4 linked regions of the Danio rerio genome follow. The protein of the gene in region 3 purifies or fractionates together with the protein of the main gene of each other region. This does not show direct contact. Links are inferred from orthologs where the notes say so. Each region holds a gene or a part of one and is shown on either strand. Other genes may lie near its edges.

Region 1 (8,442 bases), on a different chromosome or scaffold from region 3:
CAACATTTCTCATTGAACCATATGACCATTTTTATTTATCATTTTTACAAATATTTTTTTTCTTTATTATTAAAAATATATATAATTTATTTTCTCTTGTGAATTTTCAATTTTTAACAAAAGTTTCAGTTTTAAAGGTTCAATTTGATGTTCATGTTAGTTTTTGGTTTTTGATTAGCACAAACTTTTGGTCAAACTAATATGAATTTAGCCAAACACCTAAATAAATGTCAATATTATTTAGACTGCTATTTAAATGTTTGAATTACCCAAAAACATTTATTTATACTCTCAACATATAGAAGGTTTGTAGAAAAAAGTTACATTACCAATAAACTAATATTTTAAAACCTTTTTATAGAGATTTAGATTACATATAATTTAAAATGAATAACAAATTAATGAAAAATGTAAACTCTTAGAATTATATACATATATAAAATCAAATAAGTTTAATATTTGTGCACTCGTTCAGTTAAAGCTCAATGTGATATCAGTACAGCGAAATTTTCAGCACTAACAGGTTGTTTTCAATCACTTGGTTCTGATAACAAGCGAAATTCAGATGGAGGGCAGGAAGGAATAAACTAAATGAGCGACGTAAAGGAAACTACATATTTCTGCGATTTATACCGTATTTCAAAGGAGAATTAAATAGAAAATTACCACATATGTTGGGCATGATCCTTACATCATGAAGAGGGCAGAGTTTTCCACTGAACGAAAATATATTAGCCTGCCATCGAGGCAGTAGATACTGTATAATTGTGTTAATTGAAAAACACTAGTAAATACTATAGTGTTTGGAATCATACTAAAGATAATCACTTGAATTAAACTATCATAGTAATTATATTGTTGCTGTACAACTGTAACTAATTATTTATTCATAAACAAATAATAAACAATTTATTCAATAGGTTTCAGTTTTCAACGTTATAATTATACACAATATCACAATGCACTAGTTTATACTAACATCATTTATTACACAAGTTTATCAGTTTAATGTGATACAGTATTCTGTAGCATTCATTAACAAAAAGTTGTTCAATAACATGTTCATTACAAATTAGTAGTTTTTTCCCCCATGCGAATATCTTCCAGACATCACGATAATAAGCATACAAAAGCAGGGCATCATGGTCTACATTACTATAAATTTATTTTGTGTGCCACAAAATGTTTAAGTGTGCCACAACAAAAACCGTCTAGTTTTGTTGCAAAGGTAGCATTTCTTTTATGTTTTGTCGATGAACTTACAAACCTTTACAGCTGCTGCGCCTATAGACATTAACGTTACGGTTGTTAATTCCACCGAAATGCCAGTAAAAACATGGATTACTGCAAAACAAGGCCGCTATTTCATTGTAGCGATTACATGGGAGGGTATGTAATTTATATTCTCCTGGATTAAGTATAAGTGTGGTGGTGTTTGTATCTGATTTTTATTTAACACATAGCTAGTACATAGCTTGTATATAATTACTGGTGCTGTAAAACAAATAATTGCGTTCAAAAAAGTTTGTCCACATGGGTTTAATACATGTTGTCTTTTCTTCTATTTTATTTAGATAGTTTCTTGAATCCCCCCCCCTTTTATGAGCAAAAACCTTTGGAAGTCTATATAATCTGTTCAGTATTTCTTATTTTGGCCAAGTTAAACAATTATAAACATAAAACAGAAACAGTTTGATGTTCTGTAAAAGCCTTTTGATTCCTATGTAGAAGAATCACTTCCTGCCCTCCATCTGAATTCCACACATCAATGACATCATGTGAAAACAACCTAAAGTTTTATATACAGTTACCTGAAAACAATATGCTGAAAATCACGTAGTGCTTATTAAGATTATAGAAATCTTGAAAATGTGAAATATGTCTGTTTGATTAAGTAAAGACATGGTGTAAATATGGGGAATTTAAAACCATAATTATCTAATATCAACAACACTATAAAACGATTCCTGAGGAAGCACAATCTCTAAAATGCGAGCAGAAACCCTCCCCAGTACCCATACAAATATACAAACATAAACGTCTTGGAACATGTGAGGGGCACCTGCTGAGACCTTGATGCCCATCAGAGGGATGGTCAAGGGATAGTTACTTTGAGAGGCCGCATTGAAGCATCTTTGTAGAGCAGGGGTGACCAACCCTGTTCCTGGAGATCGACCTTCCTGCAGATTTCCGTTGTAACCCATATTAAACACACCTGCCTGTAATTATCAAGTGCTGTTCAGGTCCTAATTAATTGATTCAGGTGTGTTTGATCAGGGTTCGAGCTGAACTCTTTAGGAAGGTCGAACTTCAGGAACAGGGTTAAGCACCCCTGCTGTAGAGCAAAAGACAAATCATCATCTACTGACCTGCACTTCCTGTGGCACAAACTTTAGTGGCTCCCCAGCTGCAGCAAAATCCACCTTACGGGCAGCCTGGGCTGCATAAAGCCTTCTCTGAAAATTAAAAAAAGACATAGCTCTGACAAAAGATTCCATCCAAAATAAGCAGTACGAACACAAAGGCAGAGCGAGGTATACAATGTAAACCCATTATTGGAACAAACAATTCTAAATAACAATGCTACAAGCCTTTTTTTTGTTTGCATCAGGATTGTAGATAACATATCACCAGAAATGCGTGTAAAAATACATACATATTGTATTACATCATATCAAAGTGTTTAATTGATCACACAAATAGATCAGGAAAACTGTTACGGAGCAACAACCACAACTGTTGACATTGTTTCACAATAAATAAAATGTTTATTTAAAAAAAAAAAACTCTGATTGAAAATATAAACAAATAAACATCTAACATTTCACTGAATTAAATGGTCGAAAATTGGGGAAAGTCTCTTTCTGCAAAAAAAGCTTCTGAAATATAAAGCGGGCACAATTATTTAAATGATTCAGCATTTTATTACATCACTATGTAATATTTATTTATTTATTATGTTAATTTCAACAACAACATTGTATTATATTTAAATATATTTAGTCCCCATTTTCACAGCCTTCTTTATAAAGATTTGGCAAGGGCTCCAATAACTTAGATGATGAATGAATATTTATTTGCACAGAACAGTTTATTTGATTTGATGATGTATTCTTTTATTATGTAGATTGTGTACGTTTTATTTATTATACTTTTTGTTTCATTTATTATTTAATTCTTCTTAATTTTTACATTTATAATTAACAAAAATGTCTTTTTATATTGCCATGTTCCGGTAATCTACAAAGAGTCATAAACGCTATTATATAAGGTCTAAAATTATATCATAACTCATTTCAATTATTTAATAATGAAAAGTTCAATATAATAAGGTATAAGCATCAACTTCATATGCAAGTCAACCAGCCCTAATTTCTATTATTTACCAATGGTGTCAATCATTTAAATGAATTTTATTTGTTCAATAGTTTAATATTTGATTATGTGCTTTTAAATGTATAATTGTATTATGTATATATTAAAGACAACTAGTTGTATTTTTAATTCCCAATTTCTTATTACTGTTCTGTTTATTAAAGTCTTACATTTACTGTTGTACTTGATGCTTCATAATAAACAAACATTTATTCTACAGCAGTGTTTCCTGTAACCTACAAACAGTCTTATGTGTTATTATTTTATTAGATCTAAAATTATATTATAAATTGTTTGAAAAAGTCTTGAGTTGCCTTTCCTACATCTTGTATTTACAACCTGGTGATGTCTATTTTTCAAAATGATAATTATTTAATTAATCTACAAATTAATTCTCAACTAAGATATCATCCATTTCAAGAACACACTGTGTTGAATACATACAATAACTTACATTGTCATACTGCAGACCTGAGTGTTGTTGTCACATAAGGAAATGAGAGCTAGAGGGTCCATGGGAACATTTGAAAAGAAAGAAAAAACTAAAACTACATTGATTTTTTTTTTATCTATAAAAGATGGAAAATACGATAAAATTATATACAAGTATGAAATCAATTCTGTACAAACTGACAACAAACATTACAAAACTCAAACAATGTCCTTGATCTTTAACGTTATACAAATACAAGTTACAAGTTAAACATTTCAGAATGAAGAATTTTTAAATAGTATATTAAAACATGGTTATATTAAAAAGGATAATAATATGACATACTGAGAGCTGAACTGACAACCGTTTCTCTTATATTTGTATAACGTTATGTGAACTAAAGTTAAGGCCGGCGTCCATTCAATATGACCTGAAGCATTAAACAACATCCAAAACCACACAGCAAAATCTCGACTAACCATCTTTAACCACGTAAATCATAATCTCACCGATAACTGGCTTATTCCCCGAATTCCCCTCATATTTTCTCTCTCCTTCAGACAGACCACGGCAATATGGCTGACCTAAGGATGTCCTACCCAAAATCCTTCACTCTCTGCCTCTTCTACAGCATGTCCACACTACAGTTAAGCGTGAACTCACACTGCCACATGGCGACTCGGAAGATTGACTACGAACTATCGCAAAGTACACGCAGCATTGTAGTATTTGAATATGTAAATATTGCGTTGTAATATTTGATAAGTTTAATTTAATTTGTAGTTTTCCATAGATCTCAAAACACTTACTAATAAGGAATGTTACTATAGTATATTACAGAGCTAATCAAAAAATGCTTGTGCTTTTGAAATATTTTACTCCATATAAAAATATGATCTTTTAAAATTAACATTACATACCACGTTGTTTTATGAAAAAAAGGAATTTAAAAAATATCAAAATATTGAACTTTACAACACAGCTAAACTTTACAAATTGGCTTTCAATACATTTATTTAATAGGGACAAAATGTACAACAGACCATCACAAACAAAAATTATAATAATTAATATAAAATTACTTTTTAAGTTTTTTCTTATGCTTTAAACAACACATACATGACAATATAGCAAACAAAATAGTGCCAGGGTGATGGAATGCAAATAATAATGAAAATAATAATAAAAGTACAAAAATTAATAAAACAAACAGACAATGTGTATAAATAATCAAATAAAATTCTTACAATTACAAACAAGCAGGACCTTTACGTTACATTATTCAAAGATTTTGAAACTAAAGCACAAAGCGAACAGTTGTTTTGATGGCCTTTCTATTAGCAATAAGCCAGTAGTACAAAAGTTACAGTTTTTCTTGTTTGCTTTGACCTAGTTATAGAAACTAGGTTTGACTTTATTTTCATTTTCACTATCCCAGCAGAGCAGAAGACAGGTCTTGCAAATATGTAAACCCTTTCTCATTGGGTTGACACATTTTCCCCACCATTTTTCAAAACAGTTAACACGGATGTCATTCAAGGGGTCCTAACTCCATTGTTTTAGCTATGGTAACCAAACAGAAATCATTTATTCCTAACCATTAGAAACTACCAAGATCAGTATGAATTCATTAAAGTATTGGTTTGACACTCCTTCACACAAGTCTTCAATTAGCAATGCAAACATTAAAAACGGTGGAAGGTTTGTGTACTTCAGTGCTAGCATGGATGGAGGAGGTCAATAGTGGCTATGTCCTATACTCCCAATAGATTTGACTATAAATCGGTTTAAATGTGTTTTCCTTAATATTTACAGTATTTCATTACTTTTGTCTGTTTTTACAGTTTTCAGCCACTGTTTGAAAATTGTCATGAATTCAATATAAATTTAATCAAAGCACATCTTATTCTGGATCCAATTCTTTGCAAAAAGGTAAATTTGACAGCCCAAATAGAAAGACAACAAACGTTGGCAATAGTCTACAATGGCAAGCAATGGTGGTGCACTGACTTCTGCATTTTGTATTTTGTTGTCCATTGTGTAATGATTAATTGAAAGAGCTCATATACCTGTTTGCAAGTTGTGTTGTTTGAAGGTAAAACTAGCTTTTGTTGCATATTTTAAATGTTTTGACACGATATGTGCCTTTTGCAAGCATAATGTGTCATTTTGACCATGAGTGCCGCTGTTTAGGCCTGTGTGTTTACTGTTTTCAAAAGGTGGAGTTTCAGTTGACAACTGCATCAAAGCAATCGAGAAAAACTGTAATTTTCAGTTCCTTATAAAACAAAGTAAAACTGTTTTTTTTTTTTTTTTGGGGGGGGGGGGGGGGGGGTTGTTATTTACACTTATAATTATGAAACTTAATCAACATAATACATAGATTAATAACAAAAATATCCAAAAATATCCAAAAATTGCGTTAATCCAAATTAAAAAAAAGTGCATTTTTTGATAAAGACAGATAGCTTAATAATACCAAAGCTTTTTAACATAACCGAAGTGCCAAATAATGTGGGGTACAGACAGTTTCCAAATGCGAAGAACAAAAAGAGCAATTTATATCAACATCTTTTTTGTATACTGAGAAAATGTTTATCCGGATATAATTTATGAATTGGTTTAAAAGATATTTAAACTAATTAAAAATTTGTGAGGTAATGACCAAATACTTTCGCATTTAGGACTTTTTACAAAATGTTTCGACAAAGTCCCCTTTAAAAATTCTACAGGAAGTGGTTTTCAATGTGAGCATGCGCAGTGTGTCGATCACAAACACGTGTGTGCCTCTGCAGTTCGTGGTGAAGATCTCAAAGCTGCGCTGGTCATTAGAGTGATTTTCTTTTGCATAATTTCTAAACTTTCTATATTTTCTGTTTGGTTAAATAGTGTCGTCCTCCGTGAAGCTCTAGCCGAGAGGACCGTGTGTTGTTAAGTAAAATTACCGAGTGAAACAACAACAACAAACAAGATGGTGAGTATCGCGTGGGATTTCTTAGTTAACGTTAGCTAGTTTCTCGTGTTTTTTATCAATGAATTCAACATTTATACATTTTGATTTTGACTTCTGTAAGTATGTATACTTTGATATTTTAAAGGCATCGTTGCGTTTGTGTTTTGTACATTTGCGTCGTAGATCTAAATTCAAACGTTGCTAACCGGATGATAAGAGTTAGGCTGTCTTTATGTAAATGCGTGTCTTCTAATATCGTTTTACTCCTTTGTCTGTGGTTTTTACTCAGACTGAAGCTGAAGTGAACCCTAAAGCCTATCCTCTGGCAGACGCCACGCTTTCCAAAACCATCCTGGATCTGGTGCAGCAGGCGTCCAACTACAAACAGCTGAGAAAAGGGGCCAATGAAGGTGAATAACTCGTGTAATGTTAGATTCACCATAAAAGACTAACAATACTTCTCACTCCTAACATTAGGATACTAGTTATAGATATTATTAAAACACTGCTACTTGAACACTTACAAATTAATCCAATTCAAATTCTCAACCACATTTCAAACATGCAAAGTCACATAGCTTCAACCAGGTGTTTCCAAACGGAGGTCTAGTAAATTAATAAATTTATGTAAATATTTTTGAGTGTAAATTAATCAGTGTGGAACAGAACACAAGAGAACAAATGCAGATTCGATTAATACAATTCAATAATGAACTCATTTAATAAAATTATTTAGTGAATTGTTCATATTCAAAAATGCTTCTCATATTCAAATAAAGTAAAATAAAATACTAGTATTAGTAAATGATTAGTAACAAATCATCACTGTATAAACACTGGAGTCCTTCATACTAGGGTGATTACATTTTGGGGTTTGTGGTTCCTAAAAAGAATGAAAACCTGATTAAAGCTGATGAAGTGTTAAGTCGTTCGGTTTAATCCTCAATTTAAAATGTTTAAAAAAATGAATAATTGAACATTTGAGCGTGCGTGCGTGTATCCGCGCGTCTATGGAATGCAAAAAAAGAAAACCGCTTATCTGCTCTTAGTGATGGAATTTACTAACTCATGCCTAAAGCCTGGTTTATACTTCTGTGTTGAGTGATCGGCCTGAACCACGGCACATGCCTTGATCGTAGTCGTGCATTTATGCTGTTTGTGTTGGTTTGCAATAACACTTTCGAAACGCTAGATGGCAGTGAGGTTTTTGTTCCTCTGTGTCGAGCTGACCAATCGGAGCGCCCCCAAGGGGTGGCCAGGGGTCACTGCGACCCCTGTGTAATCTGTGTAATCTGTTCGACCTTGTGGCCACCTCAATGACTTTACTGTTGGTAATATAAATTTAAATGTACTTGCGTAAATGTACAATATTTTAATAAATAAATAAATAGCAGCCACTTTTCTCAGGGCAAGGTTGACATTTGCACGGGATTGCTCATATATATGAAAAGTGTTTTTAAACTAAATACCGATTTTTACTTGGTTTGCGCAAGTACTTTTTGAATTATTTCAAGGAAAAAAATGCAATATTTCAAGAATAATTATTTAAAACTACATTATTTCATTAACCAAAAATCAAAAATATAACATTACACTGAATACTTTATTAAGTTATTTTTTGTGTGCCATCTAAAGATTTGGTATGTCCTCTTCTGGCCACCCCTAAGAAAATTTATTGGGG
Region 2 (7,320 bases), on a different chromosome or scaffold from region 3:
TTAAAAGGATTAATACAACAATTCTATTTTTTAATAATTTGTTATTGTTGACTTTTATATTTTAATGGTGTTCTGTATAATTCACTTTGTGGTTTTACTTAAAGAGTTAGTTCACTCAAAATTAAAATGTTGTTATTAATAACTAACCCTCCTGTTAGTTTCCAATCTCCTGAGGTCTTTGTTCGTTTTAAGATAATTTAGATAAAATCCAAGAGCTCTATCACCCAACAATTGCTTGAAATGGAGGATGAGTGAGTTCTCTGACTTCATCTAAAATATCTTAAGTTGTGGTTTGAAGATTAACGAAAGCCTTAGGAGATTGGATGATATAAGAGTGAGTATTAATAACGAAGAGCTTCTGAATCTGAATCAATTCATTTTTTGAATTTTTTATCCAGTACTATCATTCTAAACCACAAACTTTTTTTCCTCCAGGTGAAAAAGGCTAAAAAATGGACTTGTAAAGTGTGTGGTGAAAAGCAGTCGCTGATAAAGGTAAAGCTGAAAACAAGCTAAACTGAACCTGCCACTTGTCTTGGCAATTATTTTAGTGTTAGTTTGATGTGCTTTTTTTTTTTCTTTTCATTTGTTTGTTTTATTTATTCTTTGCAGGAGTTTGGCCGTGGTGCTGCCGCTGACTGCAGACGCCATGTTCAGAAGCTCAATGCTCTGCGTGGGGAGCAGCACCAGCTTAACACTCAACAGTTGCTAGCACAGGGGTGAGCAAACCTTAATGAGATAGGAGATATCTTGGAGAATGTTGAAAACAGGTAGATATTGACTGCAGAGATATTTTGGAGAATGTTAAAAAAGTAGCCATTGACTTTCATAGTAGGAAATGGCTAAAGGTTTCCAACAGTCTACGAAATATCGTTTGTGTCAAACAGAAAAAAATAAACTCTTATAGATTTGGAACAAGTGGAGGATGACAGAACTTTAGTTTATGATTAAACTATCTCTTTAATCTGAGTAATTTCTCATTTAAAAAAAATGAAAGCTGTAGTTTCAATGTCAAATAATGTTTATTAGTATTATATTATAAACATTTGCTTACTTTTATATAACTCCCTAGTATATAGTATGTAAAAACTACAAAACTGTATATATTTTTTAAAATACAGAATTTCAAAACAATCTTCTAGATGTATATTTAGGTCTTTGTGTGAATAATTGGCATTTTTAATATAATACATTTCTGAACAAATGAATAGGTGAACAAGTTAATGTCATGTCACTGACCCATTGACAATTTTATTTTAAGGGATGAAGAGAATGAGAATGAAGATGTTTATGAAGTTCTGGATCCTAAATCAGAGGTAAATGCTGAGTCAGACCTTTTTGACTGCTCAATTGAACTGTTATACCATGTTGAAGTAAAATGAAGACAGTGTACATTAAGTGTACGCACACTGCAAAAACATCTTGCTGCCTTAAAATCAATCAAACTCACTAAACATATTAAGTCAAACTTTTTATTACAAAAAGTGTTTAAACCTGATTAACTTTTAAGTTAAAACATTTGTCATATCACTTTTTACACTGCAGTGTGTAACAATAAATAATCCTATTCTTGATGTAGCAAGGTGAGGCTCATGTCAGCCGCTGGAGCAAATACACCGATCAAACTACTGAGGGTCCAAATGAAGAAGAAGAGGACGAAGATGAGAATGTTTATACAGAAAGACCCCAATTCAGAATCCAAGGAACAAGGTTAGTTCTAAAGGCAGCAGTACAATATCCATACTGCCTTGCATCATTACTGAAAACCATCTGAGCAAATATCAATGTTAAAGGTTGTTATTTTTTTAAACAGGAAAAGGAAGAAAATGTCCAGTTTAGAGCCTTTTGGTGGGAATTGTGATAACTACGAGGAATCAAGATCTGGTTATTCCCAGTTTAGGAAACAGGCCCATCTGGTAAGTCACAGATATCCATATTAATGACAGATTTGTATGCTGAGATTATGAAAAATGTCCAGACTCGCTGCACAAACCTGACAGTAATGCTGGAATAAAAAGATTATTAGATTAAATATATAGAAAAGTCATTTCACTTTTGTATCTTCTGTAGCCGCTACAACTTGAGAAGAGGTCCAGTTCATCATGGAATAAAGGGAGTGTTTCCAAATATTCAAACTGCCACAGACCAGATGATGTGGTACCAAGTGCTAGAACAAAACTCCCATCATCCCGACAGACTGTTGATCATTACCCTACAGCTTGCTCCAGTTCCACAAACACCATGGAAAACTCTATTGGAAATAAACAGCAGATTAAATCTTCCTATAGGCCTCCAACTGCTGATGTAAACAAACACCTTCCCATCCAGAGCGAAAGCCCCTCTGTTTCTTCTCATCAGACATTTGGTGAATCTACAATTGAGAACAAGGATTCCAAATGGAGTAAATTTCTCACCATCGTCCCCACTCAGGACAAGGATGTGTACGATTATGAATCTCAAAATGGTAAGAAAACTGAGATCCATTATTTCACAAAAGCAGATACTGGTGTGGATTTTGAAGAGCGCCGATGTCCAGCAGATGAAAAGGACAGTGGCATTCTAAACAGACAGAAGGATGTTGGTGGAAATGTATCCTGTCCAACCACCAGCTTCACAAAGTCTGTAGGCTTTGAAAATGCTGTCTGTAAACCCGTACTGGTCAAGGCACCATATTCCAGCTTATCTTTAAACCCACTGTTTTGTACAGATGAAGACTTTGATGACACATTTTAGGTAAGTTTGCTTTCAAGGATGGTTAAAAATGTTAAAAAAGTAATATTTTCCTTAAAATAATAATAAATTGTTAAACTATTAGCATTGATCTACATTTGTATTCATAACTAGTCCTGTACATTTCAAAATACCAAAACACCAAAACACAAGGAATGTTTTAGAGAAGTGTTTTATTGTAGATAGAAAAGACAGGAATTTTAGAAGACCAACAGCGACATTAATCCGATTCCATCTGTTTATTCAAACTAACAAACCCTCCAGGTTTATGCTTGATCTAGAAACTGCTTATTGATTATGCAAACAGAAAATCCATAAAGTGAAGTTGCACAAATATAGATCTCTACTTAACAACCTTTACGTAATATTATGCATACATGAAAATAATGTTCTTTATAATGTCAAGTGTTAAGCTAAAGACAAACATTTTGCATATATAAGCCCAATGATGAACTTAACTATGTACTAGTCACCTGAGTAATTGATATTGTTAATATTTGTGGAAATTTATCATTTTAAAAGTATAGAAAGACTAAGTTAGAAAATAGGCCAGAAGCTTCAAATATTAAGTATGGCCCAGGTCTTCTGTATTCCTGTGCTCCACCTCTACTTCTGTTGTCCTGGTGTTTTGGAGTACTGGATGGTGTCCAGAGCACCACCGATGTCGTAATTCTTGGTGTGGAGCAGTCTGGTTAGCCATCCACCCTCATCGGTGAAACCCATGGAGAGCATCTGAGACAGAGACTCCACCAGCCTAGGGTCTGCATCTGCAGGAGAGCGCAGTAAAGTTAGAATTGCTTCAACTGATATAAAGTGATAGCCTAGAATAGAGAACATCACTGGGCATAAATAATTATACACTTTACCTTGAGGAAGGTGTGGGTAGAGAGCTGCCTCGCGCAGACCAGTGGGACCGTCTCTGGTGCTTGTGCCAGAAGCAGTATTTAGTGGAGCTGGAAGATCTGCCCCGTCCTGCTCTAGTCTAAGAGACTGCAGCTCTCCTGTCGAAGGATCCACCTCTTTAGCACTAAGATGAGTCCATTCCTCATCACTACATTGGTCTTTCTGCCATTTTGAAACAGAGAATGAATAAACGTTAACATGATATGTGGCCTCCTTCTAGGTTGAAAACTTGAGACGATCAGGCCTTTTACAGCTAAGAGGGTATCTGTTACCTTTGTTCCCTCACTGACGCTCTCTTCAGTGGCCTGACTTCCTGGACCAGAGCCTCTAGAAAGAAGCCCCACAGAACCACTGTCACTCCGAGCACTGGATGGTCCACTGGAGGCAGGAGGAGTTGGGGTTACTTTGGTCCGCTTTCCCTCATGCTCAACATCGATGTCCACATCTATGCCTACAAAGGAAAAATCACTTTTATTTCAGAGGTTTTGCCTAACATGCCAATCAAAGAAGTATCAGATTGTGTTGGAACCAAATATTTGGGAAAGACCAAAGCAGGCGACTTACCAAGGGGGCTTAACATGGCTGCCACTTCTTCTCCGATGTTCTTTAGGTACTCCACGTTAGCCTGAGAAGAGGCAGTAGCACCTATAAAATAATAATTAAAAAAAAAGAATAAAGTCAGGAAAATTTTGGACATGCCCCAATTCTGTTCCAGTTCCTCCTGTTACAATAGACCAGGGGTGTAAAACTCAGTTTTTTGAGGGCCACAGCTCTACAAAGTTTAACTTTAACCCTAATTAAACAAACCTGCTTCACACAGGTAAGTGGGCTTGACAAAACTACCTGTAGAAATCACACTCCATCATTTTGACACTTTAACCGACACTTGCATAAGACACATTACAAAAAAACTTTACATTTGAAGTGTGCTTTACACAGGTGAGTGGGATTGACAAACCACCTGTAGAAACACTCTTCTTTCTATAAAAAAACACACAACCTACTCAGTTTCAGGGTTGGAACTAATCTCTGGAGGGACTTCAGCCTCCAGGAGCTGAGTTGACTTCTGCTATAGACCCTTTTAAATGATTGGCTTACCATTCTCATTTGGGTTTTCAGGAGCATCCTGGTTTTGCTGCGCTCCAGATGGACCTGGCTGAGGCTGGTTTTGAGCCTGAGCTTGAGCATTTGCCCACATGCAGTGTCTCATCTTACGCCAAAATTTCCCACGAGGGAGCCACTGCACACAAAAGATTAATCAAACCAAAATATTCAGATCATTTGCAGTGTATTGTATGTAGTAAAATAGTGCTATTCACCTCAAACACGTTGGCCATAGGATGAAAGATGGGCAGGAGGGCATGCTCCTTGTGCAGGCCTTTGCTCTGGCAGGTGGGGCACAAGTCATAATCGGGGCAAACGGTGCACTTGTAACGGGTTCCAGCCACCGGCCCATCACACCCGTCACAGGTCACACCTGGGTGCACCATTGGGTGAGGGTGGTGAGGAGGACCCCCCATATGAGGTGGTCCTGGAGGCCCCATTGGAGATGGACCCATATGACAGGGACCAGGAGGGCTAAAGTGAGGTGTAGTGAACGGAAACCCAGGAATTCCATGAGGAGAAGAATCACGTTTGTGCTCTTTTCGTTCTGAAAAAGAAGGAAATAACATAATTGCTATTAATTGAAGATGTCTATTTGCAAAAGATCTGAGATATTCAAAGGCTTGTATGGTCAAAGTACGTAATGATGAATCCAAGATGAAAAAGTATTCACACTCTTTAAATCTAATGTCATCATTAGACGCTCTTTCCAATCATGTAATCTTTCCAACCTTATAAACTGTGCACATGTAAGTGGCAGGTGTTTTAGTTTTATAGTATTCTAGTACTCAAATAACAAGAGTGAATCCAAGAACCAATCAAAATCTTCACAAAAGATCCTCACTAGTATTCCCTTATGGAAAGAAAAAGGTTTTCAAAAATATTTACCCCCCCCCCCCCTATTTGAATAGGGCAACGAAATATTGTTCTCTACAAAGTTTTATTGAATCAATCTCTGATAGACTCCCCATCAACCAATCACTGTTTGCATAGTTATTAAAGATGCTGACGTCATCCAGAGCAACAAGGTTGACTACGCCTTTTGCTCTTAGCTCATGACTTCTCTCTATTCCTAAGTAAGTTTGTCTCAGCAGCTTGAGAATAAGAGAACGCTTACACATGGAAGTTAAGGATGAAGAATACACTTTGATATTACAAATACAATTACTCCAACTGCTCTGAGTTAATCTAGTCTTCATAACGCAACAACAATGTTTTCAAAGCCTACTAACTTGGATGCATTCAAAAAGTAGCATGCCAGAATTCGCTGTATCTAGTAATATTCCAAAGAATGCATCAGATGGAAAAATTTACCTTCCCATGAGATCATGGAAATGTTTTGAGAATGGCAGCGGAGCAACACAACTGGTAGATGTCTTTTGTAACTTTACGTCACTTCACAAATATAATGTGAATGCAGTCGGTGCAGATTGCATTCATACTATATAGAACACGCCTGAAGCTAGTTATTAAAAGCACCACCTACAGAGAGTATGTGATTTTGGATGCAGCCAAATATGATTGTTTGTTAGGTTCGCTCTGATATTCCCGTTTATGGTTTCCTTGTGACAACAAAATGGATTTGTAGATTCTATTTAGGCTTACATTTACACTTAAAGTCCCAAAGAGTTGCACCACCCACACATTATTGACACTTCACTGTGTGTACATTCACGATAGTCAAACTGCAGGATTTAAAGTAAGGCGGTAGCAAAGGCATCACAAAACAAATACAATGTGTGAATTAATTGTAAACCGTGACAATCACGAGTGAAAGTTTATAATTTGCATGGGATTTTAAGGCCTGTTACTCTGTAAACAATATAGGCATATTTACAGAATTTAGGTTGAATAAAATATTAAAGGTTAACAGTATTTTATTTATAGAATAAATACTATACAGGATTATTTTAGATTCGATTATTTTCCCCCTAACATCATGCAGCCCTGACAAACACACACTGAAGCCACGGTCTATGCGAACTTCTAAAGTATTTTAGTGACTTCATAGATCTGGAAAAAGAAATGAAAACCACGTCTTTGACCCTTATGAGGTATTGCTAGCCTAACTGCTACCTTTAACACAGTCGTTTTGTTTTTTGATATTTATTTTTAACAAACATAGATATTAAAATTACCATCTAACATGCTAAACTCAAACTAAAGTTTGTTTGCGGCGAGTAATAAAAAGTTGCAACAGATACATTCCAAAAGCAAATTCAAGACATGGTTCATCCCAAAAAAAATTCACCCTTCCTTGACTTTTTTCCCCCTTCAGCTAAAGAAAAAAATGGTTTTTCCTACTATGGAAATCAATGGTTACTGGTTTTCAGCTTCCTCTAAAATTAGCATTTTTTATTAGGCTCCTGTGTGTATGTTCAGCAATTTCACTTTTATAGAAACTATTCTCAACATAAAAGAGGCTGAGAAATTCCAGACAGCACTTATATATTTTTTTTTTTTCAAAATGTAGAAATTCTATAACTACTTCAGTGGGCGAGTACATTTTCATTGTTGATTAAACCATCCCTTTAAGTCTAATGATCATTTAATATGTGCAGGAAATTATATTTACAGGTATAA
Region 3 (8,418 bases):
TGTTAAATTGTGGAATATATACAGCAGCAGCAGTTCTTCCACACTTAGGTTCCTTCGACCCATCTGTAAAGATTTGTAATACAGAATAATAATTCTGTTGGATATATTCTTGAACTAATAATTTAGTTGGAATAATTATCTCCTTGTTTTGAATTCTTTCATGAATTTGCAGATCTACTACTGGCATAGGAAACACCCATGGGGGAATTGTTGGTATAACGACAGATGGAGCAACTTCCAGATCTTTCCATTCTAAACTGTTTATTTCCTTTCTTACTACCCAACCAAAACTTGCTATTTCTTTGTACACATACTCCCAGCAATCTTTTAAAAGACATCTAACAGGATGGTTTTCCAAATGACCTTTTATTCCTATCCAATATCTCATTCTCAGCTGAGACATTCGATGTTCTAATGGCATCTCTCCCATTTCAACTTGTAATGATGCCACTGGAGAGGATCTAAAAGCACCACAACATATCCTCAGAGCTTGATTTTGTATGACCTCTATTTTTTTAATCAATGTTTTATTAGTAGAACTATACACCATACACCCATAGTCAATGTTTGACCTTATCACAGCATTATAAATTCTTTTTAATGCTGTACTACTGGCACCCCACTCAACTCCAGCCAAACACCTTAATACATTTATTCCTTTTTTACATTTTTCAATTAATTTCTCAATATGAATTTTAAATGTTAATTTATTATCCATCCATAAACCTAAAAATCTGATTACATTTACTTGCCCTAACCGCGTTTCATACATTTTGATGTTTAATACTGGATTGCTTTTTTTTTTCGAGAAGCATATTACTTGCGTTTTTTCAACAGAAAACCGAAAGCCCCATTTATTAGCCCAACTCTCAACTTTATTCACTGCTATTTGCATTTTATTTTCTACAAATGTTACATTTCGTCCTCTTTTCCATATCGCTCCATCATCCGCGTACAGTGATCTTCCTATTCCTGATTCTATATTTTGAAAGATGTCATTTATCATTATGTTAAACAGAATTGGGCTACTCACACTTCCTTGAGGTGTGCCGTTCTCAATTGGAAGAATCTTAGACAATGCAGTCCCTACTCTTACTTGAATCGTTCTACCAAATAAAAAACTCAGAATCCAATTGTACATTCTCCCATCTATTCCCATGTTTTCCAATTTTAAGAGAAGACCTTCTTTCCACAACATATCATAAGCTTTTTCCACATCGAAAAACACTCCCACAAGTACCTCTTTCCCTATTTGTGCCTTTCGAATTTCATTTTCTAAACACAAGATTGAGTCCATTGTGTTTCTTCCTTTTCTGAATCCGCTTTGACATGCTGAAAAAATGTTTCTACTTTCTAATACAAAAACCAATCTATCCATAACCATCCGTTCCATAATTTTGCATAAATTTGATGTCAGTGCAATAGGTCTATAACTAGTTGGCTGAGAATGATCTTTTCCAGGTTTGGCTATTGGCACTATAACCCCATGTTTCCAATCTACTGGCAAACTTCCTTTCACCCAAATTTTGTTAAACAAAATCAAAATGGTGTTCAAAGATACATCTGACAGATGTTTAATCATCTCATAACATATGTCATCTTTTCCCGGAGAAGTATGTTTAACCCCTGAAATAGCTCTTTTTAACTCATATAATGTGAACTCTGAGTCTAATAAACTTCCTGATGTATCCTTCTTTTCATATATATGAGATTTTTCCCTAATTTTCTGTTCCCTGATTTTTCTCATGTTATCTGAAATATTTTCATTACTATGAATTTTTGCAAATGATTCCACCAACATTTCTGCTTTATCATCATTATTAACTGCTATTTTTCCATTACTAATTAAAACAGGAATGTTATTATTTTTCTGAATTCCTCCCATCCTTCTGATCATATTCCAAACTTCATTAATTTCAATTTCCTCCCCTATTCTATTACAGAATTCTCTCCAGTAAAGTCTTTTTGCTTTTCTTATTTCTCTCCTAACTATTGCCTGAGCTTTCTTATAATTAATAAAATCCTTGAACAATACTGATCTCCTGGCTTTCTTCATTGCTTTATTTCTCTCCCTAACTGCATTACTACATTCTTTATTCCACCACGGAACTGCTTTTTTATTGTTTACATTTTTCTTTTTACCAATAACTTCCTCTGCAGTTTTTCTTAATATTTCACTTATTTTTTCATTTAACTCTTCTATGTTATCATTGTCATTGACCATTTCCCACATTTTATCATGACATACATCTCTAAAGAGCTCCCAGTTAGCATCGTTAAATTTCCATCTTAAAATTCTCTCTATCGGAGTGTTGATGATGTCCACCCCAATTTTACACCATATTGGATAGTGATCACTTCCCAAGGTACTGTGTTTATATATTTTCCACTCACATTTCCTAGCTAATTCTCCTGTCACAAGGGTAATATCTAAAACTGATTTACGTCCCTGAGACAAATCAACTCTTGTGTAACACCCATTATTCATACATACTAATTGTCCCCAATCTAACATTTCTTCCACTATCAATCCGTTACTGTCCGATTTATCACTTCCCCATAAAGTATTGTGAGCATTAAAATCACCACACCATACTACTTTCTGACTAATGTTACCTCTTATGACTTCTAATTTTTCTTTACATAATTTTTCACATGGATTGTAAAAATTTATTACCTTAATATTACAACACCCTTCCCAAACTTCTATTGAAACCACCTCCTGATCCACCACCACCTCAACATTCCTATATCCTACACCTTGTTTAATAAAAGTAGCAACTCCACCTCCATTACCTTGTTTTCTATCCTTCCGAGTAACCACATACCCTTGTAGTACAAAATCTAACTGTGGTTTAAGCCATGTTTCCTGTACACATATTATATCTGGTTTGTTTTCTAAATTGGAAATTACTTTTTTAAATTCTTGCCCATTAGCTATTAAGCTTCTCGCGTTCCACTGTAATATTAATAACATTATTAAGGGCCACCACATACTTGCTGAGAGGATGGAATCTGCATCTTTAATTTCTCATTTATCAAATCCACTGAGATACCCTCAATCTCTAGATACTTTTCTGCTGCTTTAATTATTATTCTGATTCTCTCAGTCCTACTTTCTGTCTGAGCTGAACAGTTCACTACTTCAGCCATAAAAGTAATAAATGCAGCATTTCCCTTGATCTCTAATCTCTCTTTCTTATTTTCTTTATCCATTTCCGACTTCTGTTGAATGATTTCTTTGCTTTTGTTACCTATTTCTACATTCTTTCCAACTTTTTTTAAGGCCTCTGAGTATGACATTCCTTCTTGAATTCTAACATTTTGTACTTGAGCCGCATGTTTCCTCACTTTGCATCCTCCATATCCCGCACTGTGCTCTCCTCCACAGTTACAACATTTGGGACTAACTCCTTGACCACATTTACCATACTCATGCTCCCCTCCGCATTTAGCACATCTCTGCTTGCCTCTGCATACTGCTGCCACATGTCCATATTTTTGGCATTTATAACACCTTAAAGGGGGAGGTACATAAAGCCTCACAGAATAACTCACAAATCCCAGATATACTTTACTTGGCAGTTTGTCTTCATTAAAGTGAATCATTACTGAAAGACTATCTCCCCTTTCACCATTTCTGGTGCATTTAAGTCTTTTCACATCCATTACAGCTGCACCTGTAAGACCTCGTTTGATTTTTTCAACTGTAACATCGGTAGGGATGCCAGTGATTACTCCTTTAACCCATTTCTTTTCTTCTTGTACATTACAAGTCACCTTTTGCCCCATGATAGATTTAATTTCTACAGCCTTTTTTTGTTGTCTGCTGTCCTTACAGTATATTAACAGCCTGCCGTCTCTCAATTTTTTAACACTTTCTACCAATCCTATCTCTTCCTTGATTGTTTTAGACATCTTCAGCGGATTGATAAAGCTAAATGAACCACAATCGAGTTTCATCACTACCTTAAACTCTTCTTTCCTTCGTCTTGTCTGATGCATTCCGTTCTCACTGTCAGTCTCAGATGTATTACTCCAGCTTCTGTTTCTTTTCCGTTTTTCTACTGTAATCCATTCATTTTTCGAATTTCCCACTTCATCTGCGTCCGACATTTCTTCCTCCATTTCCGGAATGCTTCCGGAATCTAAGCTACCTCCTACCATGCACTCTCCAGTCACAGATCAGCTGTTGCCAAACCGCCCGCTTCCGCGCACTCCCTGAACTCTCACGTCCTATGTGAAGGATCGTTCACTTGTCCCGCCAACAATGACTATCCCTGACACACACATTATTCATTCACGCGAATATCTCTACACACACGCGCGCGCAAACGTGCAGAGATGACCAGGGGCAGCCAGTGCGCATGCCCGCGGCTCAATGGCGCAGCTTTAGGCCACTGCTGTATCAGAGGACGAGCACAAAATCACTCAATATACAGAACATTTCTCCCTCAACGCGATCTCAATGATCAGCTCCTGCACTCAGAGTGTAAATGCAGCGGATGAACTCAATAAAAGTCCTCTGACAGATAACCGATGGACGGGCGCGTGCATTTCAGCAGGCCGTGCTCTCCTCAGTGATGCTCACCCAGATATATACACACAAATATAGATCTGCATGTGTATATACATCTGTATGAGTGATAAACTGCTCTTCAGGTTCACTGTATGAGCAGAATAAGCCTTCACTCTGCTGCAGATTCAGTGTAATGCTGGATAAAGTGTAGATGTGGACTCACCTCTGTGTGGATGGAGAGGACAGCAGCTCAGCCGACAGTGGAGAGGAGAGACGTGCGCGCGCACACGCCGGAGTGACGCAAGAGCGCCGCGCACGCAGACACTGCGTCATCACGGCAGATTCACAGCAGCTGAGCATCATCATTGTAAGCAAAATATATATTAAAAAGGTTTTTGGTTTGTGTTATGAGCTCAATTTCTCCCCCATAAAGCAGTTTTGTGGAATAATTCTCATAATACTGTTAACCAGAAATCTCTCTATCTGCAAAACTGGACAGATTAAGGTATTTTTTCTTTTCTGATATTTTAGACCAATCAGCTAATTTACTATCTTGCAAAAATGTTATGGAATGATTGTCATCCCCTATTAAATTTAAATTATATAACCCCGTAACAAAAGCCATTCCCTCTGGTTTGCTAATGCTAATTTGAAGTCAAATGTCCTCATATAGAACTAATAGAACTGATCCTGTACTATACTTAAACGGAGTAAACTTTTGTAGTAAAAAAATGTTCAAACAAAGTTATTAGATAAATATTTTTTTTAAACAGAGCCTTAATTTAATTTATTTATTTATTTAGTTATTTATTTATTTTTGGAGTGTTTGTTTTGGGGGTGATGCAGTGGCGCAGTAGGTAGAGCTGTCACCTCACAGCAAAATGTTCACTGGTTCGAGCCTTGGCTCAGTTGGCGTTTCTGTGTGGAGTTTGCATGTTCTCCCTGCGTTCGTGTGGGTTTCCTCCGGGTGCTCCGGTTTCCCCCACAGTCCAAACACATGCAGTACAGGTGAATTGGGTAGGCTAAATTGTCCGTAGTGTATGAATGTGTGTGTGAGTGGATGTTTCGGCTGGAAGGGCATCCGCTGCGTAAAAACTTGATAAGTGGATAAGTTGGTGGTTCATTCCACTGTGGCTACCCCGGATTAATAAAGGGACTAAGCCGACAAGAAAATGAATGAATGAATGTTTGTTTGTTTTGAAGATATTGTGTGAGAAAAAAAGGTTAGTTGAATGCTTTTCGTCTGCATATGTAATACACATAGGGAACTACATTAACAAATTTACACAATGCAGACTGATGGAAATTGTTCATTCTGTATAATTTTTATGAATGTCAGCATTCAAAGTTTTGGAAAGACTTATCATTATATGTCCAAAAACTCAGGTTTTAGATGTAATTTGACCCCCAAATATGTTACTTTTTATTTTGCTTCAAACAATTTATCTGTGGAATTTATAATAAATATTTAGATTTTATTTGGTAAATTCATTAATGCAGATTGAATAACTTTAAACCTTGTTTAAAGGATTCTATTAGAGATTTTCATTTGTATACTCGCTCCAATATATTAAAAATGTCAAGATACATTTATAGTAGCAAAGGAAAAGGAGCTGAAGTTAACTGAATAGTAAACTTGCAGTCAAGTGGGTGGGTTACGTTATAATAATTTTGCAAAGGTTTCTATGTTGAAGCTGTGTTTTTATTTATTTTATGTAATTTATATTTTAGTTTATTTTATGCTGTTAGTTACTTTTGTATTTTTTGGATGTCGTGTTTAAGTTGTATATTTGGTTTTGGTTTGTAAATTTACATTTATGCATGTACAATTTTGTGACTAATATAAGAATATTAAGAACTTTAAGTAAAGGCTCTGTTTTGCAATTAACAAAACCAAACAAAACATTTTCCCACAGTAAATGAAAGTCTTTATCAACATTCTCAATGACAAAAGGGGAAAAACCTTTCCAAAGCAAAATAGAACAACTGCATTGCAGAATAAATGAGCCATGGGGTGTGGAGGAGCAGGAGTGCCAGTTAGAAATAAGATGAAGGTCAAATTTAATAATTCAAGCATAAAAAGTAAATAAATCACAATTAAAATCAACAAATAATGGACCAACAAACACAGTGTTGCTTACAAAAGGAGCAGTTTGTGTTGAAATCTGTTTTGTATTTTATTAAGAGTACAGACTGGATGTGTACGATGGATAATTCTCAATGTTTTTATCATATATGTGTAACCCCCGCCGGTTCTATATCACCCAACCTGCTCCGACCTGGTATCGAACCGGCGACCAACCGCATGGCTGTCGGCTGCTCTAACAAGGAGGCTAAAGACCATAGCCTCTAGCTACTGTCGCTAGAGCACCTTTAGAGGTCAGAGGAGTGAGGTTCACCTGCACAGCATTTACTAGCTGTCCTCCGTTACATTTGTAATTAAGCAGCTATTTTAAAATCAGCCATATTGTTTCCAGTGAACATCAGGAGCAAAAGAGTTCCAATAAAAATAACATTGAAACTATTTCTTACTCTGTTACAGAAAATTAGAGAGGGGTCTGGCTGCAGACCTGGTCCAGATGCAATCTGGGCTGCATCCAGTGCTTTTTAAAGGGCTCGCCTAACCCCACCCCTAACCCTCCTCCTCACAGTGATGTCACTCGCTCCATTTGAGTGCATTGTGTCTGGCATTGCATCGCTGAGTGATGCGATGTCAGCTCGCATCATAAAGGCTGCATCCAGATACTATTACACTTTTATATTCGTTAATGTGCGATGATGTATATACCCCTTCTGTATATCTTATTTATTTATTTATTTATTTGTTTTCATTTCAACCCAGTCTCATTCTGAAAACATACCTCTATATACATTTCTGGAGAGCACCGAATTCGTTCCAGGAGCTACATTTTTTTGCTTATTTTTTTTTTTTTTGCATTTGTTTTCGTGAAACCACCAGTATAAGGGTGTACCCACACTATGAACCGTGCCCATGCCTGTCTCCCGGATAGTTTAAGAAGTGTGAGTGTGCTGAATCGGGCTCAGGCACGGTTCACTTGGCCGGCCCTGGCCCGGTTGGAAGAGATGTGCCAGAGCGTGGTTCTCTTGGGCTTTGGTGCGGTACGCTTGTGTGTGAGTGCAAAGCGCGCCTGAGCCCGAAACTGAAAGCGAGACTCTAGGGACTGCTTCATATGGATTTATTAATCATTCTTACTGTTCAATGAACACAAATTGTCGTAGTTTATTAAAGACGTAAACCCCTCTCTGCACCATAGCTGCGCCTTCAGCAGACCTCCTCATTCCTGCAGCAGCAGGACTTCATGATTGTTTATGTGACGAGCAGCTCACAGTGGCATATTTGTGCTAAACCTCCAGACCAAGTTTATGTTAGTCTGTCGAGTCAGTAACAAACGGCACAGTATGGAATGACTAATCATATGAATAACAGCGTAAATACTCGGTTTATACACGTTCAACGCCTATAAGTGGTCATGATGTGTTTATGTCTGGTCTGAAAACACACATGCTCTCTCTCGCTCACCCAAACACCCCCACAAAATCACACAATGTGTGTGTGTGTGTGTGTGTGTGTGTGTGTGTGTGTGTGTGTGCGTGTGTGTGTGTGTGTGATGGTGAAAATAGCATTTTGGCGCCACTGTAAGGCTGAATCTTGTAAGGGGAGGAGCTGATGATGAAGAGGAGGAGCTGATGATTAAGGGGAGGAGCTGATGATGAAGAGGAGGAGCTGATGATTAAGGGGAGGAGCTGATGGTGAAGGGGAGGAGCTAATGATTAAGGGGAGGAGCTGATGATGAAGGGGAGGAGCTGATGATAAAGAGTAGAAGCTGTTGATGAAGAGGAGGAGCTGATCACTAAGGGGAGGTGCTGATTATGAAGAG
Region 4 (7,906 bases), on a different chromosome or scaffold from region 3:
TTCACAACAGACAAGATGTTCACCATATATTTATTTATTAACAACATAGTGCCAAGAGAAAGCAAGTCTTTACACAATCACTCAGACACCTAAATTAATGTGGATCTGCACTGACGTTACACTGCGGACTGAATTGGAGAAAAAATGAACTTTAAAGACAGGAAAGAAAAACAAAACTCTTTATATGCATACAGATGCATGCATACGTGACGACTTGTATGGATGTATAGGCATAGGTATGTATGCGTGAGTGTCTGTCTAATGGATAAGTGAGTCTAGCGTTATCATATGCAATATGCGATTGCACGTCAATCACTGAAATGATCCTGCGGAACATGAATATGTTATTTCTGTTGACGTCCCAAAATCCTTTTAAGGCAAACAGCAGATCTAGTTCTGGAGAGGTGATCCATAACTGGAGCCATGATTTTTAGAACACAGGTAAACACAAATTTGGCATTAAAATAGGTATATAGAGCCATAGTTTCTATACAGAGAGGAGGTTCGGAGGGGGCACGAATACGAGGGGTCAAGGCAGATGGCAGGACCAAACTAAAACAAATGAAGTAAAAGATTACCTTAAAATGGTGTCAAAGCAGGTTTTTGGAAATATCGCAATACTGTTGCAGTTTTTCAAGCTCTATTCATACAGTATAGAATTTAAGCAAATTCATTACAGAATTCTAGCTCGGTCAACGTACACCAAAGCAAGAAATGATAACTATATATACAGAATGTGAATGATAAATACAGATTTAAAACAGTCCTGCTTCTTTTTCTTCACTTTGATAACACCCGTTCCTTTTTTATTAGATTTTTTTAGACCAGCTCTACGATCCTTTTTATTTTGACTTCAGGGTTTACCACAGTTTTCATTGAGATCACCCACATCAACTGATTAAAATACTATAGATGACTTTGTAGTGTTTAATACAGTTCAAACGGGCAAAAAACAAAAACAAACAAAACAAACAACTTGCTGAAAAAAAACAAAAAACAAACATGAATAGATTTACCATATTAACTCCAAAGCTCCTGCCTTTTTCCTTACTAGTAACCATATAATGTCTGCTGCAGCCCAAACAGGCTTCAGGAGTTTGTCAGGAGGTTTGAAGAGGACCTGGACTTTATAAATATACTTGTTTTTTTTTTTTTGTCGTTTTTGTTTTTGGACAGCCATCTAATATATGATCTGAATCCGGGGCCTGGGCTGTGGGAGGTTAAGAAAATGTTAGTGAGCCCGACCAGTCCAGTAGAAACGTAAGGGGCGGAGGGAGACGTGGAGGAGACTGGAGGGTAAAGGCCAGAGCTCAGCAACAGCCCCCTCCGGCTTGCTGTCCTCCCTGACTGCCGCCCATCGTGGAGTTGGTGGCAGCATGCTGGGGTCCAATCTTAATGCCGTTAGCCTGCGCACACAAATAAAAATCACACTTCAACACTCTGCTCCATTTCAGAAGACAAGACCTCACAAAAGTAAAAAGAGCTCGTGTGAAAGCATGGTGATTCTGTACTGTCACATAACGCTGTATTAAGCAGAAAATACCAGCCCCTGTAGGCCTGAATTAGTGGGCTGCTTTTGTCAGCGCTGAGGCGGGAGAACCTCTGGAGTGTTATTCCAGCAGCTACACAGGGAAACCTGCCAGAGCTTTAAAAACACACGCACGCACACCCAAGCTGGTGGCACTTTCATTCATCACACAAAAGGCAACCACCGAGCCAACTTTTCCCTTAAGCGGGCTCGCGATCAAAACCGGCACGTCGTAGCGAGGTTGTGCTTTTGTAACATTCTCAGGAAACTCCACGTTGCGCCAAATCTGATTTATAGTGATCTGGGGTGAGCTCACATGCGAGTCTTCAGGTTCCTGGCCAGGATCTGTATCAGCTGATGCGGTTTGGACCGTGTGCCTTAACTGATTTTTTTTTTACTTTTCCAACTACCGCAATAAAATAGCTGCAGTGGCCTCACCTCCATCAAACCGGCTGTAACTTACAAGAAGTGAGGAATTTATGTCTTGGCCAGCAGCCAATGGAGAGAAACTGAAGGGCCGGAGGGCTTGTGTGGAGCTTCTCCTCTGGAGAACATCTGCGTCCATGATCCTTCTGCTACCTCTCTTTTCAGTTGTACATTAATATCGCTGTCAAAACGGTCACCACTATTACAGTCCCAAACATTTTAATCAACTGTTACAATGCCTGCATCACATGCAAACCAGTACAATAATATCAGCTACACTCCATTGGATATTACATGAAAATTTGCATAGATTTAAGGATGCACAATGTGGCTGCTGTGAGAAAACGTCACCAGAGTACAAAGGGTATCAACCATCTAATGTGAGGCCTAATTTGTTAACCTACTTCGAAGATGTAAATAATTAAAGTGTCTGACATACGAGTAGCAGATGTTTACCATAAAATGAAAGCTGTATTAAAGTAATTTTGTCTAAAATTAAATGTTTTTAATTAATGTAATGTAGAGTGCTTTTATAGTGGGATTTAGGGTTGCACTGTTTACCGGTACTATGGTAGTATCGCGATACTAAGGCTCCAAAATACTGGGGTGCAGCAGTAGTTTGTTAACGGTAGTATCGCCATTATCTGTCAATTTACAATAGATATTGCTGCATGTGGAAAAGTCACTAAAATGCTCACATGTTCGTGCAACAATGGACCACTTTGTTTTAATGGTGTCTGGAACCCTTTAAGGTTGATTGTTTTGTGATGTTTCGAACACATATCTGAATCGGTTCATTTCTGTTCCTTTCAATATGATTTAGTAGCTACAACAAACGAGACAATCTCTTAAAAAGAAACCACTCGCAAAGTGAATTTTTCAATGACTCGTCATCTAATAAGACAGACCAAAAAAAAAAAAAAAGGATGGAAAAAATCCAAAATAGCAACAGGAAATTTTGAAACTATTTTTGACCATTTCATATAGCCTAGTAGTGTTGTAAAAATGATCTTTTTGTAACTAATTTCATTTGGTATAATTTGTATCTTTATTCTAAATGTATTTGTTTGTCAGTTATCTAAAAAAATAACTTGGTCAGTTTGTTCAATTTAATTTACATTGCATCTACATGCCAACTAATTCTCAATCGATTATAAGTAGACCGTTATGGTTAGGGTTAGTGCAAGTTGACATACTTGCAAAGTTTCTTATGGTCAGGTAAATGTCTGTTGAAGGAGCAGTATCAGCAGATATTGAGCAGGCAGTCTACTAATACTCAAATGGACCATCAAAATTAAGTGTTACCAAAAAAAAGGAATACATTTTAGGTGAAGTTAAATGCAAATAATACTTTTTTTCAATAATAAAGGAATTATGAACCAACTTTAAGTAGGCCTATCACAACATATAAATATAGTATTTCTGACAATTACCTTTATAATTAGAGTTATGAATTACAGTAACGCAATACTACTTGGTATCATGATACTTCAGCTGGTATAGTATCGTAACAAGAATTAATAGTATCGCGACAACCCTAGTGGGATTGTTTTAGATCTAGTAGCCATGTAACTAGTAATATCCATAAAAAGAGAATTAACTCTGGCTTCAATCTTCCACAAGAGGTACAGGTTAAAAATTTATTTGTTAACCACTAGTGCAACAGAACATATAAACAACATACGTATGTGCACATTTTCAATGCCGCTAGTGTCTCCAAACTGAATAAATAAGGAAAGAAATGTATACAAAAAAAAATGGGGAAAAAAGTTTGGACCAACAATTGGCTTTATGCACAGCTAGAGTTTTAAAGCCAATGATAAAAGCTTAATGTGACTATTTTCAATTTCACAAGCTTGTTTTTACAGCATCAATGTTGTAATGTAATTATAATACACTTAGTTAAAAAGACTTAAGCATTTATTTAGTTGTTCAAGCGTTAAATAAGATGAAAGACTGTTGTATCTGCTAGCGCTGCCAGTATCAACAGAATAGAGCAGAAACTCCATTAAAAATACTGGGGTAAAATAAACGGTCATATTTTAAAGACATGGCGGGGAAAATGAAATTGAATGCAGTGCTTCTTGTACAATGAGTCCCATTTCTTCGTACATCTAACAGGCAGTGAAGATCGCTGATTTTTAAAGAAATCAGATTATAACCGTGACAATTTTGTGATGGAAAGACAGTTCACAGGAAGTCATTATGCCAACCCCAAATGGACTCCATTGGTTAATCTGGTTAAAACCACTGTCTACCTGTTTCTTTTTACCTTTGTAGAACTTTTTTGAAGAACTTTTTTTCTATTATCTTAGTCTAATAAAACAGTTAAAAAGTATTTTACAAATGAAAAAAAGTTTATCTTTCCTAAATAGGTTTCTAAAGGCATCTAAAACTAAAATCAATATGCTGAGAGTTTCTAAATCCACCCACAAGACCATGCACAACAGATTTCACAGTAATGCAACAGGAAGTCCTCTTGACCCATTTATTTTTAACCTGTAATAACAAACAATGTGCTTCATTGTTATATAGGTTACCTCGTTGTTTATATCAAAGACTCCCTCCTGGATCTTTTCATAAATCTCCTTAGCTGTGTTGATAAATGCCTGAAACGCACACAAAAAGAGATATTTTATCCACAAAACAAGATAAACTCACTGCAACACTGGACACAAAACAATACCTCACGCAATCAATGTGGCTCATGAATAAATGAGTGAAATAAAATAGATTGGAAAAACTCTGCAAGTCCAAACCGTCAGGATTTCTCACAGCTGAAGGCTGGTGCCCCCATCTGGCTGAAAGCGATGATGACGGTCTACTATTTCTCCAATCAAACACACACACACTGGTCACCCGTTGAAAAGAAACATGGCCGTGTGCGCGGATCACCTTTAAAGTGCTAAGACCTGCCACTGGCACTTTGTAGCCTAATTAACAGAGCTGCTTTGCTTTTTTTGGTGCAACTGCCTCTCTGCTCTCCAGAGCAATCAGTCCTCTGCGGCTCAATTACCACCGGGAGAGAAAACCATGGCTGAGCAAGCGCTGCAGATGTGTGCGCTGTATCATCCGATGTGTGTGTGTGTGTGTGTGTGTGGCAGGGAATCTATGAATATGCATGAACCCTAAATAGGAGATTGAAACGTCATAAAGGGGTGGGGGGAAGGGTCAGGAGAATTCACACGACACTAATGAGACAAATTAATCATTGAGGCGACTTTGGGTGGGTGGTTGGATGGATGGATGGGGGAGGGACTTCCTCAATTTAACACCCCGCCACCCCATCTTTTTAAAGCCATCCCTAAGCCCTGCTTTAGCTTCTTGGCTTCTGCCGCAGAGATCCCAGTGTTTTTCTCCCCAGTCTGCATGTCCCTAGGGTGTTATCTATATGTGTGTGTGTGTTTTCACACGGGAACCCAAACATAAATCACGACACAGGCACTGGAGACTGGGGAGTCACACAGGTGGTGTTTTACCTCTTCTACGTTTGATGCGGTCTTTGCAGAAGTCTCCATGAAGATCAAGCCATGTTCTCTGGCAAAGGCCTCTCCTTCCTCTTTCTTCACCTCTCTCCGTGACTCCAAATCACTGGCATTGGAAAAAAGCAGATTGGTTTTTAATTGCTAGATTATTGAAATATGACTGAAATATGTAAACTGGTCCTTAAAAAAATGGGACAGGGGATTTTTTTTTTAAATGGTTGTTTTAAATTTGCCATATCAAAAGATGAGCAACTGAATTACAGTTTCCACAAAAATATTCAGCAACAGATTCTTTAGTACACTATATATATATATATATATATATATATATATATATATATATATATATATATATATATATATATATAAACTAACAACATTGGGCTGCACAATATTGGCCAAATCTGACATTGTGATAGGACTGGGCCGATAAACGATATTATATTGAATCGCGATAAAATTTGTCAATGACAATAATACGCTCTGGACTTTTTAACTCTATATTGATCTAAGAGCCAATCATACAGCAGAAATGTGTAACAATGGAAATCTAGAAGTGTGTCAATATTAGAGATGCACCAAACTTTCGGGCACAGAAAAATTATCGGGCGAAAATACGTTATGCCATTTAATGGACCATCTAATTTTGTGGCTTCAGTCATTGCAGGGGTACAACACACACAACTTATATCGAAATATATATCGTTATTGTTCAATATGAATGATGATAATTAAGAATGCATTTTTGCCATATTGCACAGCCCTATATTGTGATATTTATTTTCTGCGATAAATATTGAAATGTAAATTAGGGTTGAGCGATGTCGACCAAGTTAGCATCATACGTTGTATAATGTGAAACATCACGATGGCATCATCGTCATAGGTGGAGGTGAATACATTTTTTATGAATAATTAATTGATTCATAACGAGTTAATTATTTCGAGCCAACATTTTCAACTACCTGACCCGCATGGTCTTTGTTTTATCCATAAACAAATCATAAATAAATCAAATTTTAACACTAAGACGTTTAGTGTTAATGGCCTAAGTGTGTATATTTTTGCAAGCATGTTTGCGACAGAGGCGGGGCAGAGGATCGGTGATGCCGGCTCAGCATTGTGTTGTCTATTGGCTATCGGCGATGGACGATGGCATGGTCTATTGGCCCAACCCTAATGTAAATACAGTTTCACAAGATAGTTGAATAGTATCTTGTATTCTGGTACAGAAATTGAATAAATCGCAGTGCAAAAAAAATAAATAAATAAAAAATAAAAATAAAAAAGCTTTTCTTTGTCTAATTTCTAGTCCAAATACCTACAAAAATATCTTAGATCAAGTAAAAATATTGTTTTGTTTAAAAATTGAGATGAAATAAAGGCAATATTAAGAGTTTTTCCTTAAAACAAGCAAAATGATCTGCCAGCGGGGTAAGTAAATAATCTTGTGGTTTGAAGTGTAGAATTTGGATAACACTTTAGTTTAGGTCACAATTCATGCTATTAACTGCTGGCTTATTACCTGCCTATTATGATGATATTAACTGTTCATTAGTAGTTATAAAGTATAATCTGATTCTAATCCTACCTAAACCCAAACCAAACCTCTACCTTACTGACTATTAATAAACGGCTAATTAGTAGTTTATTAGGTTAGTAGTGTTAGTTAAAGGTTTGTTAATAGGAACAAAGAAAAAAATTCAAAGCAAGCAAAACATTTTTTGTTTTTGTTGCATAAATTTAAATACAGTGATTTAATACAATTCTGTAGCTCCTGGTCAACTAAATAATTGGTTCAATTGTGTTTAATCAGGGTTGTAGTTAAACTCTGCAAACAGATAATGCCGCAGTCACAGAGTTTGAGCATGCAAAATTCTGTCATACGGCGCTGCGAAAAGGGCCATGATTAAACAAAATGATTAGACATTTAAAAAGGGAGCGATTGGTCTGTATTTTACATTTTTGTCCAGAGAGTTTATGCTTTGAACTTCGATTGGTCTCATGCAGTCATGTGACACGATTTCACAAGTCAGAGTTCACCTAGCTTTAACTTTCCAACGCAGCAAACTGCGAAACTTATCACACGAGCTTGCGTTTCCGGTCTGTCGCATTCGCATTCGTATGAACAGAAGTCTATAGGGCGAAAAGTGCAGTGTGACCGCAGGTTAAATCTTCAGGAACAAAGGACCCTGTGTTAGATAGTAGTGTAGTGCAAGGTGGTAATGTAAATAAACTCAAACAGCATTTCCTACATAGCAACCCTATGCTAAATAGCTAACACTATTATCCAAGACAACGAATCTAGTAATGTTTAGCCACTTGGCATCAACAGCATTAGCCAATAATGCTAATAATCCTAATCATCCCCATATCATAATTGGCTTCACCACTCTGTCTCCTTTCCACCTATTAGCTGATGCGTGGTGTGCGGTCTAACAAAATATGGCTGCCGTCGCGTCATCCA

The links.
Region 1: the proteins of vdac1 (region 3) and uqcrc2b fractionate together in Homo sapiens (co-fractionation; 3 studies listed by BioGRID, with this or other methods). This does not show direct contact. The link is inferred for Danio rerio from reciprocal best matches to the Homo sapiens genes VDAC1 and UQCRC2.
Region 2: the proteins of vdac1 (region 3) and sqstm1 purify together in Homo sapiens (affinity purification with mass spectrometry; 3 studies listed by BioGRID, with this or other methods). This does not show direct contact. The link is inferred for Danio rerio from reciprocal best matches to the Homo sapiens genes VDAC1 and SQSTM1.
Region 4: the proteins of vdac1 (region 3) and rab2a purify together in Homo sapiens (affinity purification with mass spectrometry; 3 studies listed by BioGRID and IntAct, with this or other methods). This does not show direct contact. The link is inferred for Danio rerio from reciprocal best matches to the Homo sapiens genes VDAC1 and RAB2A.

What each region holds. Positions count from the first base shown.
Region 1 is NC_133187.1:10,988,104-10,996,545, forward strand, and holds the start of uqcrc2b (cytochrome b-c1 complex subunit 2, mitochondrial), read right to left. Parts: upstream 4,408-8,442; 5' UTR 4,351-4,407; coding exon 4,318-4,350; exon of another isoform or gene 4,288-4,317; intron 3,879-4,287; exon of another isoform or gene 3,830-3,878; intron 2,457-3,829; coding exon 2,370-2,456; intron 1-2,369. Other genes in the region: snu13b (SNU13 homolog, small nuclear ribonucleoprotein b (U4/U6.U5)), read left to right, coding at 6,780-6,782, 7,051-7,171. UniProt on the Homo sapiens protein: Component of the ubiquinol-cytochrome c oxidoreductase, a multisubunit transmembrane complex that is part of the mitochondrial electron transport chain which drives oxidative phosphorylation.
Region 2 is NC_133189.1:19,142,628-19,149,947, reverse strand, and holds the end of sqstm1 (sequestosome-1), read right to left. Parts: exon of another isoform or gene 5,285-7,320; coding exon 4,953-5,284; exon of another isoform or gene 4,874-4,952; coding exon 4,732-4,873; exon of another isoform or gene 4,279-4,731; coding exon 4,198-4,278; exon of another isoform or gene 4,085-4,197; coding exon 3,906-4,084; exon of another isoform or gene 3,854-3,905; intron 3,796-3,853; coding exon 3,597-3,795; intron 3,498-3,596; coding exon 3,337-3,497; 3' UTR 2,887-3,336; downstream 1-2,886. Other genes in the region: mrnip (MRN complex-interacting protein), read left to right, coding at 436-495, 613-719, 1,262-1,316, 1,580-1,710, 1,814-1,916, 2,071-2,733. UniProt on the Homo sapiens protein: Molecular adapter required for selective macroautophagy (aggrephagy) by acting as a bridge between polyubiquitinated proteins and autophagosomes.
Region 3 is NC_133196.1:49,366,775-49,375,192, forward strand, and holds the start of vdac1 (non-selective voltage-gated ion channel VDAC1), read right to left. Parts: upstream 4,814-8,418; 5' UTR 4,743-4,813; intron 1-4,742. UniProt on the Homo sapiens protein: Non-selective voltage-gated ion channel that mediates the transport of anions and cations through the mitochondrion outer membrane and plasma membrane.
Region 4 is NC_133177.1:25,051,242-25,059,147, forward strand, and holds part of rab2a (ras-related protein Rab-2A), read right to left. Parts: intron 5,546-7,906; coding exon 5,434-5,545; intron 4,564-5,433; coding exon 4,495-4,563; intron 1,407-4,494; coding exon 1,311-1,406; 3' UTR 1-1,310.